Canis lupus familiaris: one gene and its partners. The protein of the gene in region 1 purifies or fractionates together with the protein of each later gene. This does not show direct contact. Links are inferred from orthologs where the notes say so. Each region holds a gene or a part of one and is shown on either strand. Other genes may lie near its edges. The genes, in order: PRDX5, PRDX1 and PRDX2.

Region 1 (6,028 bases):
TGCTTCATAACACTTTATTCAAATGTTCTCCCTATGTCCTTAATAAAATCAGGCCCCCCACCTCATTAGTACCCCTTAGGCCCCTGCCCACTACCTTCACAGTTGTGACTGTCTTAAGGCCTGGCCCTCAGCAAATCAGCAATTCAAAATCGAGGAGTAAGGGCACCTCAGTGGTGCAGTTGGTTAAGCATCTGACTCTTTTGATTTCAACTCAGGTCATGATCTCAGGTTCATGAGATTGAGCCCTATGTCCAGGCTCCAAGCTCAGCAGGGAGTCTGCTTCTCTCCCTCTGCCTCTCCCCACCCCCTACTACCCCCCAATACACCTGCGCTCTCTCGCAGATAAATAGATCTTTAAAAACAAAAACAAAAACAAAAACAAGGACTCATTGAAAAGCTGAAATGTTTATTGCAGAAATTTGGTCACAATTCCCACTGGGTGGACCTCGTCGAAGTTGGAGCAGAGTGGGCCCTTTGTCCAGGGCTGGGCAGGTGCAACACACGAAAGAGTAGAAGGAGTATATCTGGGCCCAGGCACTCAGAGCTGCGAGAGGATGTTGGGGGCCAGGCTGCAGGTGAGGCCTGTACCATCTGGCTCCACATTCAAGGACTTCACTATGCCATTCTCTATCACCATAGAGAACCTGCCAGAAAGAGAGACGGCCAGGGGCGCTTGGGTAGTGCAGTGAAGCATCTGACTTTTGGTTTCCCCTCAGGTCATGATCTCAGGTTCATGAGATCAAGCCCCTCATCAGGCTCTGCACTCAGCATGGAGTCTGTTTAAGACTCTCTCTCCCTCTCCCTTTGCTCACTTCTGCACACTTGTGTGCATGCTCTCGCTCTCTCTAAAATAAGTAAATCTTTAAGAGAGAGACACCAAGCCAATTACAACAGCCTAGGCCTGAAGGCTGGGAATGGAGGTCGAAGGGGTGCAGGGGAACCCCACAGAAGACCCTCCTACTTTTACCTCTTGAGCCGATGATTTCCAAAGAGAGATACCAATGAATCATCTAGTAACAAATCTGTCTCCTAAAAGAAAAAGCAGAGACAAGGCTTAGAAACTTCCAGAACAGACCAAGCCCTGTCCCCACCAGCTGTCCCTCACATTATAGCCATGTCCCTCCCAGTTCCTGTATCCAAGGCCCGGCACAGGGACCACCCTCTAGTGTGGGGGTTGCTGGTGTGCACTCACCTTCCCAAAGGCCCCAGTGGGGTCAGCCAACAGCCTAACCTAAGGAGAAAGTAAAGGTCAAAAGAACAATCCCCTGCCTGGCCCCTGACCCCCTGCAGGGCCCACATCTCACCTTGCCTCCTGAGTTATGAGCTCGTCCCCATGCCTCAGTCACGAAGACATCATTAACGCTCAGACAGGCTATCACCTGGACCCCCTTGGCCTTCAGAGCCTCAGCCTGCTCCATGAATCCTGGCAAGTGGGTCTAGGAGGGGAAATGAAGGGTCAGCAGAGGGATAATTGCCTCTGCTCATTGGCCTACCCATTATCTCCAGGAAATCCTCATTTCCTTTTGAATATCTTTGATCAGACCGTTAGAAACGCATAAGCCACAAGGAAGCTCAGGTCCAAACTCGAGTGTTCGGTAGTCACCATGAACTTCATCCCAGGGACATGACTATACTTTATTTACCCAAGCACCTTCCATGGTGCCCATCCATGGTGCCCATCACCAGCAACATCAATAAGACAGGTGGGACTTAATCACAAGACCCTTTTCTCCTGCATTCCTGATGTCACTACCTTTTCACCACCTCCACTTATTTTCTGAGTGCTCTGATAGGCCTTCTGTCACCTTATCTATGTGTCCTCGTCGCAAGCTGCCCTAGGACTTAGGAACAATACAGATGTATACACAAGATTCCAACCAGGGAGTCCCAGAAGGGTGGTCTCACCTTGGAACAGCCAGGGGTAAAGGCCCCAGGGACTCCAAACAGCACCCCCTTCTTGCCCTTGAACAGCTCTGCCAGGTTCACCTCGTTCCCAGGCTCCCCTTCAAAAACCGTCACCGAAGGGATGGCATCTCCCACCTAGAGGGAATGGCTTCATGATTACTTTGGTTACTTTAAAAGTGAGCAAAGATGACTAGAGATAGGCTAGACAAGGAAATAAGGAGTTGGGGAGTGAGGGGGTGGGTAAAGAGGCCAAAGGAAAGGTGTTAAACCAGACCAGGCAGTTCCTTCTAGTGGAGCAGAGTTGACAGACTTGTAACATCCTAACCAGCCAGTTTCCAGCGATCCCTCCCTGCCACCCTACCTACCCTCTTCCCCCCACCGCCTGATTACTCCACATCCTCCAGGTTTCAAGATGGCCCTATTCCTTTCACCGGTTTGTTGATGACAACAGAAAATGGAGGAGGAGGCCTCCCTGGGTGTTGCAAGGGATTGAGTAATCAGGGAGTCTCTTTCTTACCAGAAAGAAGTGGGATCTGCAGGCAGGGGAGGAGATGCATGGGGCCTATCTAAGGGGTGAGGAGGAGACGCTGACAACAGGGAGGGAGAGGCCCCTGGCCAGGTCTGAGTGTCCAGCGCTCAGGAAGAGAAAAGGGGAGACCAGCAGAAGGTGAAAAGTTGGGGAGGGGGAATAAAATAAAAGGAATTTCTCAAAGGGGATGGATTAGTCTACTTAGGAAGAGTGTGTGAATGTTTCATGGAGCCAGAGGAAATACGGGAAGGGAGGACAAATCAGGGAGTGGGAGGAAGATAAAGGAGGAGGAGGTTTCAGAAGAACGTGGAAGGGTTCCCAGGATCATTCCAGGTGAGGGTTTGAAAGACTCGGCAGAAGGGTGGGCATGAGCTGCGGGAGAAGCGGAAAGGAGGAGACAAAACAGGGGCTCTAACGGAAAACACTTGTTCCAGACGATGGGGTGAAGAGTGATGCCCCAAAAATATAACAAGAACGTGCAGGAAGGTTTGCAGGGGAGGGGCACGTAGGAGGGTTGAAGAGCAGCCCTGCGGCAGAGGAGAGGGCCGGTTCCGGAAGGCGGAGGAGACGCCTACAGATGGTGGAGACCCATCTTGGTGCCGCATGGTGGAAATGGGAAGGGGGCGAGGGGAAGGCTCGAGAGCTCTGGGGCTGTCCAGTGGATGGGGTACAAGTCCCCTAAAACTGGCGAGACTGCAAAAGGGTGTGGCTGAGGGAGAACCGCAGGAGGAGCGTCCGGCGCGGCGGGCAGGGGTCCTGAGGGCAGGAAGGAGGGGGATTCTCTCCCGGGAGGACGGGCGGGAGGGGAGCTCAAGCTGGCCCGGCCAGCGGTCACCTTGATTGGGGCCATGGCGGAGGCGGCGCTTCTGAAACCGTGGGCCCCGCCAAGCGTCCAGTCCCTGCCTCGCTGCCGCACCCTCCGGCTGTCGACACTGCCTGTGCTGCAGACCCGAAGGCAGCCGCGGGGACGAACCCGGAGCCCACCGGGCCGGTCAGGGCGTCCAACGCAAGCGGCCGCACGCCGACCCCGCCGCGCACCACGGCCCGGCCCCCGCGGCCCAGGCGCGGCGAGGGGCGGGGCCCAGCAGGATAAGCCCCCGCGGGATCCCGCGAGAGGCGGAGCATCAGCGAGGCCCGCCCACGGCTGGGCTCCTCCACTGCGCAGGCGTCGGGGCGCGAGCAAGGGGCGGGGCTTCTGGGGCGCTCGGCTCTTGGGCGTCTGGGGCTGGACAACCAGGGCAGTTACAAGCGGGCGGGGCTTTCGACAGCCGCGCGGCTTATTTGCGTGCAGGGATGGGTTGTCGCTCTCGTGGTGGGCGTAATTTACGGATTGACCGCAGCGTTTCCTTACCCGGAAGCGAGGGGCGGCAGACGATGGTGCCAGGCCGCCCGTGTAGGAGAAAAGCATGTTTATTTTGCATTCAGCAAAGGCCCCTGCGCTGCGGCGGCTTTACACGTGATCTACACTGAGCGTGATCTGTAGTGAATGGAAGCCACTGGGGCTACGCCGCAGTCCTCTGCCAGGCCGCTTCCGGCAGCAGCGCGTGACCCGACCAAGCTCTTCAAGCCCCTCCGCCCCGGCTGCTCGGGAACTTGCAGCATGCCGGCCACTTCCGCTGGCCCGAGCCGTCCAATAGGACAGAGACGGGAGCGGTTCCGGAAGTGACGCGAGGAGCGTCTGCTTTCCTCCGGTTCCGGCCTGGGGAAAGCGCGTTGCCGCGACATGAAGCTGCTCACCCACAACCTGCTGAGCTCGCATGTGCGGGGGGTGGGGCCCCGTGGCTTCCCTCTGCGCCTCCAGGTAACGGCGGGGGGGCGGGCTCGCGGCCGTGCCCTGGGCGGAATGGAGAAGCCGGGCTCTGGTCCCTAACAGAAGCCCTCCACCCTGCAGGCCACCGAGGTCCGCATCAACCCCGTGGAGTTCAATCCCGACTTCGTGGCGCGTATGATACCCAAGGTGGAGTGGGCGGCGCTTTTGGAGGCGGCGGAGACCGTGAGGACCCTCCCCCACGCCCGTGTTCACCTTCCGGGGGAGTGGGGCGGGGGGGAGTGGTCTCACCGCCAGCCCAGAGCGAGGGGCGGGACGCCCGGAGATGACTTAGGCCTTTGCCCACAGTTGCATCTGGTCGAGGTACCCAAAGGGCCGATTGAAGGGTATGAGCATGATGAGAAATTCCTGAGGCAGATGCACCACGTGCTGCTGGAGGTGAGAGCAAGCCCATCGCTTGCTTCCCCGGCCACCCAGCCACAGCCCGAGGCTGCGGGTACTCAGCTCTGTTCCCCGCTTCCCCGCAGGTGGATGTGTTGGAGGGCACCCTGCAGTGCCCAGAGTCTGGACGTCTGTTCCCCATCAGTCGCGGGATCCCCAACATGCTGCTGAGTGATGAGGAAACCGAGACTTAATCGTGCCAGATACTAATTTTGAAGTCTGTAACTGTGTATGTTTCTGTTTATATCTAGCCTATTTGCTAGTCCGTCGTGTATCCCCACCCGTGACCCAGTGACACACGAGAAACACGATGTTCTTGAGCTCGATATATTTCTTTTTCTCATTAAAGGTTCAAAACCAAAAGCGGTTTCTCTTTGCAGCAAATATACATTAAAATAGAGTCTCTGTACAGCCAAGGGCTCTGGGCCCTGGCTTGCCCTATGTCCCTGCACCTCCCTGGCCAAACCCAAAAATAAATATAGTGTTATTGCTCTGCAGGGCATAGAGGCAGTGCTCTCACTACCCCCTGAGGAGGCTGGGTGGGAGCTGATGGGGGGCCATGGCCACCCCAGGGGTCCAGGGGCTGGAGCCTGCTTGGAGTTATTGCTTCAAGGGGGGGGGGGGCAGTAATGCCCAATGCAAATGATGAGGAGAGGAGCGAAGGGGGCAGGGGCCTTTGCTCTCCAAATCCCCCTCTGCTCTGGAGAGGGGGTAGGATTAAGCAGCAGCAAAAGCATCACCCACTGGGAGACTGTTGCCTCCACTCCCTTCCCTCCCTGAGATCAGGCTTCTGCCCCCGCCCCCAACACACACACACATGTCCCCTGCAGCCCCCTATGGCTTCCGCAAGGCCCCCGACACTCTGGGGGCACGTTATGGCTTGCAAGGGGCAGCACTGTGCCCAGAGCCTGGGCGCACACATTCCCAGCTTCTAAGACCCCCTGGGAGAGAGGAGGGGAGGGCGTAGGGCCTGTTCCCAGGGGCTGATGATATTGCCCTGGCCCTGCCAGCAGGCTGTGGCACTGCCCAGACCCCAGCTCTGCCCCCTTGGGGCTGAACCCATTCCGGGCGGGTCCTGCCAGCACCCCCACCCATGCCCACCCCTTGCCTCAGTCCATCATGGCCTCGAGCATCTCCAAGAACAGCTTGTGCATGGGCACCTTGCCCTCCAGCTTCACCCCGTAGAAATGGGCCAGCACTTTGCCCGCTGTCTGGCGTAGGAGCGGTAGTGTGAGCAGCAGCCTGCCTGCCCGCCGCCGCTCAGCACCCCCTCCGGGGCCTGCCCGGCCGGCTTCATATTCCAGCAGGGCCTCATGTAGAGCTTCTCGCAGCTGCTCCACAGCCTCGGCATCCTCAATGTGCACGGAGTCTGCAAGGAGGGGTCA
Region 2 (6,130 bases), on another chromosome or scaffold:
CAGATTGCCAAGGTCTACCTGAAACTTAACAGGAAAAGAAAACTGTTCCAACTCTTCTCTTAGGGCAAAACAGTCAGGAGAATATGCCTAAGCCTCTGCTAATAATACAGCAACTCTGATATACATCTCTTTTTTTTTTTTTTCTGACATACATCTCTCAAAAAATTAATGGTGTAAGCTCCAAAGACTTGAAGGAACAGAGAGTATGTGCACACAAGGGGGTGGGGTGGGGGGAAGAGAGGGAGAAGCAGACTCCCTGCTCAGCAAGGAGCTGGATTAAGTGCTCCAGATCTGGGATCATGACAGAAGCCAAAGGCAGATGCCTAACTGAGCCACCCAGGCGCCCCAAGACTTGAGCTTTCAAGGAGTATCTCCAATAGAATTGAGGAGTACTGAGAAAATAATTGAGCTATTATGTCCAGGCATAACAAAGCATGGGCTTTTCCCGTAAGCAGTCTGAACCTACAGGATTATCCGTCATCATGGTTGGTAATCACTACATCACTTCAACATAAAAACAGCCACCTACTTTGAAGACTGACCTAGGAGGGAGAAGTCGTTTTACAATCAAACCTAACAGATATACAGAAATCTAATGATCCATCCTAGATGGTAAAATAATTCCATTTTAATAAATCTAATATAATTACTCTTACCTTTGTAGTCAGATAGGCTGAGGTCTTTGAACTGGCCATCTGGCATAACAGCTGTGGCTTTGAAGTTGGGAGCAGGATGCCCAATTTTGGCATTTCCTGAAGACATCTTGCTATGGGCTGGAGAAAAGAGGAAGTAAATTAGAAACAAGCCTTATTTTTCTAAGTAACCAACACCCTTCTACCTAGACACTTAGCTACAAAATAAAAGAATTATCCAGTGGCCCTAAATATACATACTAATTTTTTTATATTAGTAAGACGCATCTGAGAAAGCTCAGAAAACTGAGCTTTCTAACTTATGAAACAAAACCAAATATTACAGGGCGCCTGGGTGGGTCAGTCCTTTAAACATCTGACTCTTAAAAAAATAAAATAAGGGAACCCTGGGTGGCGCAGCGGTTTAGCGCCTGCCTTTGGCCCAGGGCGCGATCCTGGAGACCCGGGATCGAGTCCCACATCGGGCTCCCGGTGCATGGAGCCTGCTTCTCCCTCTCCCTCTCCCTCTGCCTATGTCTCTGCCTCTCTCTCTCTGTGACTATCATAAATAAATAAAAATTAAAAAAAAAATAAAATAAAATAAAATAAAAATAAAAAAATAAACGTCTGACTCTTGATTTAAACCCAGTTCATGAACTCAAGGCTAAGCACCGAGCCTGCTTAAAATTCTTTCTCTCTCTTCCCTTCCCCTGCGCTAGAAGACTCACTCTTAAAACAAAACAAAAAAAATCAGGGCAGCCCCGGTGGCGCAGCAGTTCAGCGCCGGCTGCAGCCCGGGGTGTGATCCTGGAGACCCAGGATCGAGTCCCACGTCGGGCTTCCTGCATGGAGCCTGCTTCTCCCTCTGCCTGTGTCTCTGCCTCTTTCTTCACTCTCTGGATGAATAAATAAATAACTCTTTAAAAAAAAAATCAGAATACTTCTCTGAACATCAGCTTTTGTTTTCCTTTAAAAACAGCAATTTTTAAAAATTGAAGTAACCTCTTACTTTTCCTAAACGATCATTTATGCAGTGACATTTTCTGTACTCTCATTATGCAAAAAGCTCCAGAGAAAGAAGGTTCGATATCAAAGCTGAGCCCAAATGAACAATTCCACAAACAGAATGTCTGATCTCTAGAAGTGGTCATGTTGCCCTTTCTCTGGACTGCATCTTTATCTGTCTTCAGAATTCAAGAAGTCCACATGACCTTTCTCCAGGTACATTTGCCCAAGAGACCGCACACCCCTAATCCAACTCTGGTTTTCTGTTTTTGTTTTTGTTTTTTTTTTTTAATTTATTCAGAGGCAGAGAGAGAGAGAGGCAGGCAGAGGGGCTGCCCCCCTAATCCAAGTCTTTAAGAGACATGATTCCCATCTGCTAAATTGCAAAACTTCAAGGGTTGTGTTTAAGCCCTAGAAGTCCTTTCAAAAGTAGGTTTCTGGGCAGCCCCGATGGCGCAGCGGTTTAGCGCCGCCTGCAGCCTGGGGTGTGATCCTGGAGACCCTGGATCGAGTCCCATGTTAGGCTCCCTGCATGGAGCCTGCTTGTGCCTCTGCCCCTTTCTCTCTGTCTCTACGAATAAAGAAATAAAATCTTTAAAAAAAAAAAAAAAAAAAGGTGGGTTTCTGACCTCAGGGCCAGGATTCTGGAGCAGCAAGTGGAACAAGGGTCTATTGCTGGGAAGCCTAGCTGGCTCAGTTGGTTGGAAGCATGTGACTCTATCTCAGGGCTGTGGGTTAGAGCTCCATGCTGGATTTAGAGATTACTTAACCTTAAAAAAAAATCCTTACTGCAAAACAAATCATTGCTAAAAAGCAATGCTGCACTGGATTCACTCAGGTCAACACAAAGTTAAGGAATTAAGATGTAAACCAGTAAGTCATCAGTTTGAAAGGCTCAAGAAGCTAATTTCCCAAATCCCAAACTTTTTTGGTGCATAAAACCAAGCATCTATTATTGCAAACTTTCTATTGCTAACGCCTTTTAAAAAAAAAAAAAAAAACCTAGTAAGGCAAGTTGCAATTTGGCGACCAAATATAGAGGGGGTGTGTGATCCTAACATAAACGACCTCCTCATCCAAACCTGCTTTTCCACGTGGTTCTCACGTCCACTAAAGACCGACTCGGCGGGGTAAAGGCCCTTAGACCTCAAGGCGGCGTGGGCCTCGGTGGATCTGCCCATGAACTTCCAAGGCTAAAGGCACGCCCCCAAATCCCGCTTCAGGTTCCCTCCTGCCGCTCCCATGAGAAACCCCACCACAGCACTTAGGAAAGCACTAGCCGCCCCCCCTAAAAAAAAAAGAAAAAAAAGCAGTCTTGACAAATTTGAGATCACTACAACCCTATTACACAAACGCAAAAAATAAAGCCAGGGTAGGAAATCAGTACCGGAAACTGCCCATGTAGGCCCAGCGGAGGGCCGGGAACAGTCATCACCTCCACCACACGACAGGCGGGTAGCCTCAGGTCAGTTTCCAGGTCCACTCTAGAAGATTCCTGAGCCCGCCCCGCCCGGAAGGAGCCTAGCTGAGGAGAGCCCACCACTACCACGAGGCCCCCTCGCCGCGCCAATGAGCGCCCTCCGCTCGGGTTGCCGGGGGAAGAGGAAACTCGAACCGACGTTAGCCTCAGGGTTTAAACAGGTCCCCGCGTCCGTAAGGGAGGGCGCGCGGACCGCCTAACTACTCTCGAGCGCCAGACCTCGTCCAGCCACCTCCCCCGTCACAGCACCCAAGCCAAGTAGGGCAAGACCCTGGGAGAACCAGGAAAAGACGACGACCCGGGCGTGGAGAACCTTCTCACCAGCGCTGAGGAGACTAACCGCCGATAACCAGTCAGGAAGAAGACGCGTGAGGCGAGCGCGGGGCGCTGCCTTTATAGCCTGCGGGGCTCTCGCGAGAGTCAGAGCGGGCTGGGGGTGCAGGAGGAGGAGAGGGAAGGGGGATCTGGCCCCGCCCCCGCCCCAGCCAACGCGCCCCGCCAGAATGACTCAGCACTTTCCCTCGCGGTGGGCGGGCTCGGGCTCGGAAGGTTGGGATCCCCCTCCCTGCTGCCGACGGTTAGGGTCGGGGAGCCGAGGGCGGCGGTGTCGAGGCCCCAATGCCCCTGTTACTCTGGGATCTCTGCGAGGGTCTCCTGCGCGTCCTGCCCTCAAGACCCAGACCGCGGTATTGGTCTTGCCCCACGGAGGATTACGTCTAATCCACATCAAGCACTTAAAATTGTCAAGTGTTTCTCACATATGCCACCCCGATCCCCGCAGCCTCTGCCGTAGTGCTGCCTCAGTACCTAGACAACCTCCTTCATTATTCTGATTTACAGGATTGCTGCTCTCCTTCTCCCACCCACTCCTAACGCAGCGGCTAGAGGGAATCTTTCTGAAATCTGATCAGTTCACTCCTCTGATTTGTGGTTTTAAAAACTGGGGCTCCGTAGTCTGTTTCCTGAGTTAAAACTCATTGTCATTTTATGTGTGGCCTTGATTGTTCTCACCCGTAAAATGGAAAAAAACTAGTAATTCCTTGGGATCATCTTTGTGGCTTACTTAGCACAATTCCTAGTTCTTATTATACGTTAGAAATGTTAGCTGTTATTATAGAATTCTTCCTTGCTCCTAGCTGGATTGTAACACCCAGAACAATGTGTCGCTGTTTCAAGACTTCAGGCTTTTGTTCAAATATGAAGAATCTGTTCCCTCCTAGTAGACCTAGAGAAAATGTCTTTGAAGACCGCCGAAGCATGACTTCTGGAACTGTTCCGGACCTTGGCTCATCCTCAAAAGTCCTGGAAAGCTGTTCTGGCTTTTGCTCCTCCCCAGAATTTATCATTCCGTCCTTTGTGCCCAAAACAACATCCTGTAAGGCCAGAAGCTATACAAAATACCTCTTTAAAAAATATATATATTTTGTTTATTTATTCATGAGAGACACAGAGAGGCAGAGACACAGGAAGAGGGAGAAGCAGGCTTCATGCAGGGAACCCGACGTGGGACTCGATCAGTGGGACTCGATCAGGCATCTCCAGGATCACACCCTGGGCCAAAGGCAGCTCTAAACCACTGAGCCACAGGGGCTGCCCTCTTAAGCTATTTTATATGTTTATATGCCTGTCTCTTCTTGCTACATTGACTTTCTGGAAAGTAAGGTTTGGGTTACACACACCTCATGTCCCTAAGACATAACAGAGCACTCGATATAAAATAGGCGCATGTAATAAATACATTATGTCCACACTGCCTCTATCACGACCCCCCAACCACCACCATCCTATTAACTGCCTTATGTATCATAGCAGGATAAAAAATGGGAACATGCTGGGACGCCTGGGTGGCTCAGCGATTGAGCATCTGCTTTCTGCTCAGGGAATGATCCTGGGATCTGGGATCCAGTCCCACATTGGACTCCTTGCCAGAAGCCTGCTTCTCCCCCTGCCTGTGTCTCCACCTTTCTCTCTATGTGTGTCCCTCATTCATGAATGAATAAATAAAATCTTAAAAAAAAAAAAAAAAAAAGTAAGGGATCCCTGGGTGGCGCAGTAGTTTGGCACCTGCCTTTGGCCCAGGGCGTGATCCGGGAGACCCTGGATCGAATCCCACGTCGGGCTCCCGGTGCATGGAGCCTGCTTGTGTCTCTGCCTCTCTCTCTCTCTCTGTGTGACTATCATAAATAAAAATTTTTTTAAAAAGTAAGAAAATTTTAAAAAAATAATGGGAACGTGCTGTGTCAAGGTGCCTGAGCATCTCAAAATTTTTCTGCATTTATCACCCTATCTAGCAACAATCATAATTTTGTTTGTTTCCTTCTCTACCTGAGAATGAACAGTTATTTGGCCATTATTTATTTCCTTCAAGAGGCAGCAGGGGAAATGTAGAAGTTCAGAGCTTTATAGTGGATGGTTATTGCTATGGGCAGGTTAAACCAACAACACACAGTCCTATTTCAGCCAGAAAAAAAAAATTATTGTATCTTCCATGTGCCTGGACTGGGGCACTTGGGCTTATTTGTGTCATTCAAAAACCAGAAGAGGGATCCCTGGGTGGCTCAGCGGTTTGGCGCCTGCCTTTGGCCCAGGGCGCAATCCTGGAGTCCTGGGATCGAATCCCACATCGGGCTCCCGGTGCATGGAGCCTGCTTCTCCCTCTGCCTATGTCTCTGCCTCTCTCTCTCTCTCTCTCTCTCCCTCTCTGTGTGACTATCATAAAATAAAATAAAATTAAATTAAATTAAATTAAATTAAATTAAATTAAAAAAAACAGAAGAGGGATGCCTGGGTGGCTCAGTGGTTGAGTGTCTGCCTTCAGCCCAGGTCATGATCCCTGAGTCTTGGGATGAAGTCCCACAAGGGGCTCCCACAGAGAGAGAGAGAGAAAGAGAGAGGCAGAAACACAGGCAGAGGGAGAAGCAGGCTCAACACAGGGAGCCTGAAGTGGGACTTCATCCAGGGACTCCAGGATCACACCTTGGCCGGAATGCAGAAGGCTGAAAAGTCACTCATG
Region 3 (6,101 bases), on another chromosome or scaffold:
ACACGAGGACTCAGACTCCTGTCTGTCCTAGTACTTTATTGGTCACCTTTTGGCCTGGGCCCAGCTAGATGGGCTCCAGGGAGGGGCTCACCATTCACCAGCTCCCAGCTGGGAGAATGAGAAGGCCTTGGACAAGCCCTCCAGGGTCATGGAGTTTAAAGGGGCAGGTCCGGCCTTTCCTGGGTCAGCATGGGGTATCCACGTAGGGGTGTAGGTGGGGGCCAACAGCCCAAGCTTTCCGCATGTCTGCAGTCTAGTTGTGTTTGGAGAAGTATTCCTTGCTGTCGTCCACGTTAGGCTTGATTGTGTCACTGCCTGGCTTCCAGCCAGCAGGGCATACTGTGGGGAGACACAGGGATGCACATGTGAGGCTAGAGCCACATCTTCAAGGTAGGGCAGTACAAGGGGATGAACAGAGGCAAAGCATGAGCCTGAGTAGCAGAAGCAAAAGCCCAGAGCCAAGTGGTACAGGCCCATGACCATACAGCATATTGAGAGAAGTCCTTCAAGCTATAGGATGTTCTGGCTGACATTTTTATTTCTTTTTGGACACCCTCCCCATTGTTTTATAAAGATTTATTTGAGAGAGAGAGAGAGAGCTCGAGCAGGGGGAGAAGGACAGAGAATCCTCTGAGCAGGCTCCCTGCTAAGTGTGGAGCCTGACAAGGGGCTGGATCCCAGGACCTGAGACCATGACCTGAGCCAAAACCAAGCGTCAGATGCTTAACTGATGGAGCCACCTTGGCACCCTTCTCTCTGACCCCTTTGGATCCTATTTCTCCTTCAGCCATAGATCCACTGGACTTCGAGGGCCTGTGACCAGGCTGTGTCCTCCCACGAGAGTACTCTGATCCAACTAATATTTTTTTAAAGATTTATTTATTTATTCATTCAGAGAGAGAGAGAGGCAGAGACACAGGCAGAGGGAGAAGCAGGCTCCATGCAGAAAGCCTGATGTGGGACTCGATCCTGGGTCTCCAGGATCACACCCCAGGCTACAGGCGGCGCCACACCGCTGCGCCACCGGGGCTGCCCTGATCCAAATAATATTATCCGAGCTTGCCTTGGTACATGCCTTCTCAAATACCTTCTGTAAATCTGTTAACTCCTGGCTCCCCACCCTCATATTAGGGTATCTCCCCCACCAGACTAGAAAGGTCCTGCAGACAAGGCCCCGAACTGAGTCTTCTTTGGGGCCCTCATATCCATCCCACACAAGTGATAGAGCAGTGAGTGTCTGCATGAGGGCTGAGTATGTACCCACAGGTGAACACAGGTGAATGTGTGTGCTCACCTTCCCCGTGCTCATCCGTGTACTGGAAGGCCTGAACCAGCCGCAGAACTTCATCCACGGAGCGCCCCACAGGCAAATCATTGACAGTGATCTGGCGAAGGACACCCTTGCCATCGATGATAAAGAGGCCCCTGAAGATATCAGGGTTCATGGTGAGGAACTGGGAGTTCCCGCTGCCAGGGCCAGGGGAGGGAATAACACCTCCCTACCAGCCGGCCACAGGGCTGGGGGGCAGGGAAGACACTACCCAAGCATTGTCCCCTGCCCCTGAGGACCGGGGGCTTCTCAAGGGCCCCCACAGTACCTGTAGGCAATGCCTTCATCTTCCTTCAGCACACCATAATCTTCAGATAAACTTCTGGTTACATCAGCCACCAGGGGGATGTTCAGGGGGCCCAACCCTCCTTCCTTCCTGGGAGTGTTGATCCTAGGGGTGTAAGAGACAGCGCTGGATCCTCACCCCGGGGGCTTAGGTATGATAAAGACTGGAGGAGAGGTACTGGAGCTGAGCGATAAGGGGCTTTAGAGCAAGGCTCTAGGATCCCCACCCACTCCACCCTCAAGAGGCTGCAGGGGCTGTTTCCCACAGCTGCGAACACTAAGCCAAGGCTCTAGCTCCAGTCAAGGGTGTTCACATGTGCTGGTGACCTCCCACAGCTCAGGGCAGAAAGCCTGCCTTACAGCCCCCCATCCTCCTCTCTAGTTCTGTGTGTTGGGGCCCAGCCCTTCACCAACTAGAACTGGAGTTTCCACCTTCTTGAAATAGCTATTGGAAGGGAAGCTGTGTAGCCCTAAGTGAGGTAAAGCATCTCCAACTCCCTGGGCCAAGCAACTAGTTTTCAAATGCTAATTAGGCCATCATCATTAAGGACTTGGGCGTTCTGAATGCTATTATTTTCAAGACGGCGGGGGGGGGGGGGGGGGGGGGGGGGGGGGGGGGCGGAAGGAAGGCACAGACGTTGAGCAACAGCCCCAAGAAGGATCCTTGAGGAGAATGTAGGCCCGGTGACATCCTCCCTCCCTGCGGGTCCCGCTCATACCAAGCCAGGTGGGTGAACTGAGAGTCCACGGAGACCCCCAGGACCTCACAGCCCAGCTTGCGGAAGTCCTCGGCATGCTCGCTGAAGGCGATGATCTCCGTGGGGCAGACGAAGGTGAAGTCCAGCGGGTAGAAAAAGAGGACCAAGTATTTCCCTGGGGAAGGAAGCGGGGATAGACAAGGAATTAGGCCTCTAACGCCTGGGTCCCACCCCCACCTGGGCCCACTCTCGGCTGCCCCTCACCTTTGTAGTCGCAAAGCTTCACCTCCTTGAAGGCGCCATCCACCACGGCGGTGGCCTGGAAGGGCGGGGCGGGCTTTCCGATGTGCGCCTTGCCAGAGGTCATGACTGCAAGCTGAGACACCCCCCCGCCCCCCGCTTGGTCAGCGCGCCCGGGAAGACCCTCTGTCGTTCCTTCCCAAGGTCATGCTGCGTGCTGGGCCCGGTTACTGAGAGGCAGAGGCCGCAGCACTACCCCGCACCCTCCCGGGTACCGGGCTGCGCGGCCTGGACACTGCAGGAGACCCGCCCCCCTGACCAGCACTAGCGGCCGGGCCGCAGGCGCCGGGGCCCCCCATTAGCGTCTCGGCTTGAGCTCCCTGGCACCAGCCCACCGCTCCGGGAGGAGCCCCCGCGAGCCGGGGGTGGGGAGCTCGCCGATGCGGCCTGTGTTGCAAGGCCGAGGCCTCGGTTTCCCCTGCAAGGACAAAGGCGGCCACTCCGGCGGGCGGAAACAAAGGCTGCAGCGCTAAGGTCTGGACCCGGCCGGAGCCGCTCCGGGGTGGGGTGGGGGGGGGGCTTCCCAGAGCCCGGTGCCCTCTAGGTGTCCATACCTGCGTGGGCAAGGGCGGCGCGCACGGGCTGGCAGACGCGCGAACACACGTTCTCAGCGCCGAGCGCGCCCTGGGCCTGGGTGTCTTTTATGCGCGGCCCGAACCATGACGCAGAGGGCGAGGGGGGGTGGGCGGACGAGCGGAGCGGTCGGGTCCACTGCAACCGCGGGGGGGTGGGGAACCAGGCCGGCCGGGTCCACGCGCCCGCAAGCGGCGGGAGGAGTCGGGGAACGCGGGCCCCGACCACTACCACCGCTGGCGGGGGGTGACGCGGCCACCGCATCCCCCGCGAGGAGCTCCTCCTCGGAGCGCGCCCGGGTCGGTTGGAGTCCGGCATGGCCCGGAGCCCGGCGGACTTACTGCTGCCGCCTCTGATTCTCCTGCTTCTGGGGACCCCTGCTAGGGTCTCCCCCAACTACAATTACTTCGGCGAGAAGAGCGAAGGCGACCTCTGGGAGGAGCTGCGGCTGCAGCATCAGGAAAAAGGTAACCGCACGCTGCGGGGGTGATGGTGCGGAAAGGTGCCCTATTGCCCCACTTTGCCAGCTGGCTGCAAACAGACCCTCGTCCAGGGACTTCAGATCTCTCCCCGTCTGCACACTGGCTGGCCCCCTTGGGCTGGTTACTTTTCTCCGAGGCTCAGTTTTCTTACCTGTAAGTTGAAATAGAGACTGACTTTACACCGCTTACAGGGGCAGAGGGGGATATGGGTAGACAATAAATCCAGAACCAGACACATCCATAAACTCATGGATGAGCGCTAGGAAGTATAGGGATAGAGGAAGAAAGGGGCGGGTAAATGTCTCAAGTCGGAAAAGGCCTGACGGAGCAGATCGGTAACCAATGCAGCAGGAATCCAGCAAAAGCGAAAAATACAAAGATTGAGGGAGAAGAGTGTGCCAGGGAATGGGAACAGCAAGTGCCAAAGCCAAGAGGCCAGGCGGAGGGAAAGAAAGAGGCCAGTGTTGTCTTGGGAAGGCATGAAGTGTTAGGACTTTGTGAGCTGCAGAGTTGGGATAAGACCAGTTTCCTAGGGGCATAGGGAGGAGTCCATAAAAGAACATTGTAAAAGAGCCTCTGATAAGCACTCAGAAGGTTGGAGCTGCTTGAAAAGTGGTCATTATAGTTGTTTTTGTATTACCTGCTAGCACATCACCAGAGACTTTCAGTACCTTCATTATATTATGCCAATTATGTCACTTAATTTACCACCTGGCATCCCTGCTGGTTAGGTGGCACTATGCCTACTGAACAGGCCCATTATCACCACTCCCCCAAGACAGGAGTCAGCTTCAGATGGTGGGCACCAAAGGTGTTGTATCACACTCCCAACTGGACAGGCTGGCACAGGTGGGAAGTGTCAGTTTGCAATTCCTCTGGGCAACACACCAGATGTATCAGCTCAAGGGGTGGCTTGCTTTCTATAGGTCTCAGTTTCCCCACCTGGGAATAATGGGAAAATTAAATTAGATCATCTATGGTGGAGTGCTTGGCACAGACGCAGAGCCCAGCAAACAGGAGATGTTGTTGTTAGTGTATTTATCTGCCTCTCTTCCTAGAGGAGGGCATGGCGGGGGTAGGTTCCCCCCTACCTGGCCCTCTATCCCTAGACTTGGAGGACTCGATCCTTGGCCCCTGGGGGAAGTGGCGCTGTTTCTGCGACCTGGGCAAGCAGGAGCGCAGCCGCGAGGTCCTGGGCACGGCGCCGGGTCCGGTGTTCATGGACCGCGAGAATCTGGTGCAGGTGCGGCCCTGCAGGCAACGGGATTGTTCATCCTGCAAACCAACGGATTGCGACTGGAGGCCCTGAACCCGGGTGAGAGACTAGCGCAGAGGAGGCGGGGCCAGGGCAGGTGGTCTAGTCCGGGGTTGGGAGTCCTCAGGGCCTGGGATGAGGCGAGAGAAAAGGCGGGGCGTGGGGGGTGCGGGCAGGAGAGCCTTTAGGGATGAGGCTTAAAGATGGTGGGGAAAGGTGAGCTGAGTCAGGAGCCGTGAGCCCCACTGATACCCGGGGAGAAAGGAAGAAAGCTAGTCATGGGCCGGGAGGGGGGGATCAGAGATGGAGGAACTGTGACCCTGAGGAAGGGACATGAGCCTGATGAGGGTCAAGGACCTATAGGGTGACGATGTGAGCCCCTTTGAGACTCGAGAACTGGGGGACATGAACCCTCAACTGGGGGTAATGGCCCTGCCTTGTGGGCTCAGACTCTCAGCAGAAGCCTATTGAGATCTGGGATCACAGTTGGGAGGGGGTGGGTGGAGGAGGCCTAGCCCCAGTTAGAGAGAGGTTAGGAAGCCGGGAAAGGGAGGGCGAGAGTCTGGGTGAGGTACCGAGAGAGGGAGCTGGACAGCAAATCTGAAGGCCTGAGCCCAGTGGAAGTAGGAATACCTGGTCCGGAGGGCTTAGCCTGTGTGGAATGGCAGGGACAGGGACCAGAGCCAGCATCCAGATCGGGGACCGGGACCCAGTGATGTGGGCACTGGCGGTAGTCTGGCAGTATAGTGATATTTGACCTTCTAGGCCCTGGCTGGGCCTCGGCCTCCAAGGCCTGCGTCAGTTTCCCACTTTTATTTCCCTATCTCCTAGCAGCCCCGACGGGCGGGGCGTCAGGGACTCCGGGGCGGAGCCTGGAAGGCGACCCCGCCCACCCCGTTCCCCCGAAGGAGCTCGGCGGTCGGCCTTGGGAACTACAATTCCCAGGAAGCCGCGCGGCAGGAGTTTCGGTGGCGGCTGCGGAAACGTCAACGGTGGCCGGAGCGTCGGGGGCGTGTCCCGGGCACCGATTGGTCGGGAGCCAGAGCCGCTTCGGGGCCGGCGGAAAACGCGCGCCTAGAACCGCTCCTGTAGACCTGGTTCTTGCGGTCGGTGGCGGCGGCAGAGACGGCATGGATTTCAGCGAGCTGGACAGAGACAACACGGGCCGCTGTCGCCTG

Evidence for each region.
Region 2: the proteins of PRDX5 (region 1) and PRDX1 fractionate together in Homo sapiens (co-fractionation; 3 studies listed by BioGRID). This does not show direct contact. The link is inferred for Canis lupus familiaris from reciprocal best matches to the Homo sapiens genes PRDX5 and PRDX1.
Region 3: the proteins of PRDX5 (region 1) and PRDX2 fractionate together in Homo sapiens (co-fractionation; 3 studies listed by BioGRID). This does not show direct contact. The link is inferred for Canis lupus familiaris from reciprocal best matches to the Homo sapiens genes PRDX5 and PRDX2.

What each region holds. Positions count from the first base shown.
Region 1 is NC_049239.1:53,258,318-53,264,345, forward strand, and holds PRDX5 (peroxiredoxin-5, mitochondrial), read right to left. Parts: upstream 4,032-6,028; 5' UTR 3,843-4,031; coding exon 3,786-3,842; exon of another isoform or gene 3,742-3,785; intron 3,509-3,741; exon of another isoform or gene 3,285-3,508; coding exon of another isoform or gene 3,270-3,284; intron 2,240-3,269; exon of another isoform or gene 2,225-2,239; coding exon of another isoform or gene 2,180-2,224; intron 2,041-2,179; coding exon 1,906-2,040; intron 1,437-1,905; coding exon 1,305-1,436; intron 1,232-1,304; coding exon 1,193-1,231; intron 1,030-1,192; coding exon 968-1,029; intron 645-967; coding exon 539-644; 3' UTR 387-538; downstream 1-386. Other genes in the region: TRMT112 (multifunctional methyltransferase subunit TRM112-like protein), read left to right, coding at 4,158-4,235, 4,326-4,640, 4,730-4,837. UniProt on the Homo sapiens protein: Thiol-specific peroxidase that catalyzes the reduction of hydrogen peroxide and organic hydroperoxides to water and alcohols, respectively.
Region 2 is NC_049236.1:14,928,171-14,934,300, reverse strand, and holds the start of PRDX1 (peroxiredoxin-1), read right to left. Parts: upstream 3,471-6,130; 5' UTR 3,439-3,470; exon of another isoform or gene 3,179-3,438; intron 774-3,178; 5' UTR 763-773; coding exon 657-762; intron 1-656. UniProt on the Homo sapiens protein: Thiol-specific peroxidase that catalyzes the reduction of hydrogen peroxide and organic hydroperoxides to water and alcohols, respectively.
Region 3 is NC_049241.1:49,749,176-49,755,276, reverse strand, and holds PRDX2 (peroxiredoxin-2), read right to left. Parts: upstream 4,064-6,101; 5' UTR 3,919-4,063; coding exon 3,820-3,918; intron 3,654-3,819; coding exon of another isoform or gene 3,503-3,653; exon of another isoform or gene 3,338-3,502; intron 3,327-3,337; exon of another isoform or gene 3,168-3,326; intron 2,690-3,167; coding exon 2,578-2,689; intron 2,489-2,577; coding exon 2,335-2,488; intron 1,722-2,334; coding exon 1,599-1,721; intron 1,426-1,598; coding exon 1,295-1,425; intron 340-1,294; coding exon 254-339; 3' UTR 17-253; downstream 1-16. Other genes in the region: THSD8 (thrombospondin type-1 domain-containing protein 8), read left to right, coding at 3,503-3,653, 4,778-4,977; RNASEH2A (ribonuclease H2 subunit A), read left to right, coding at 6,054-6,101.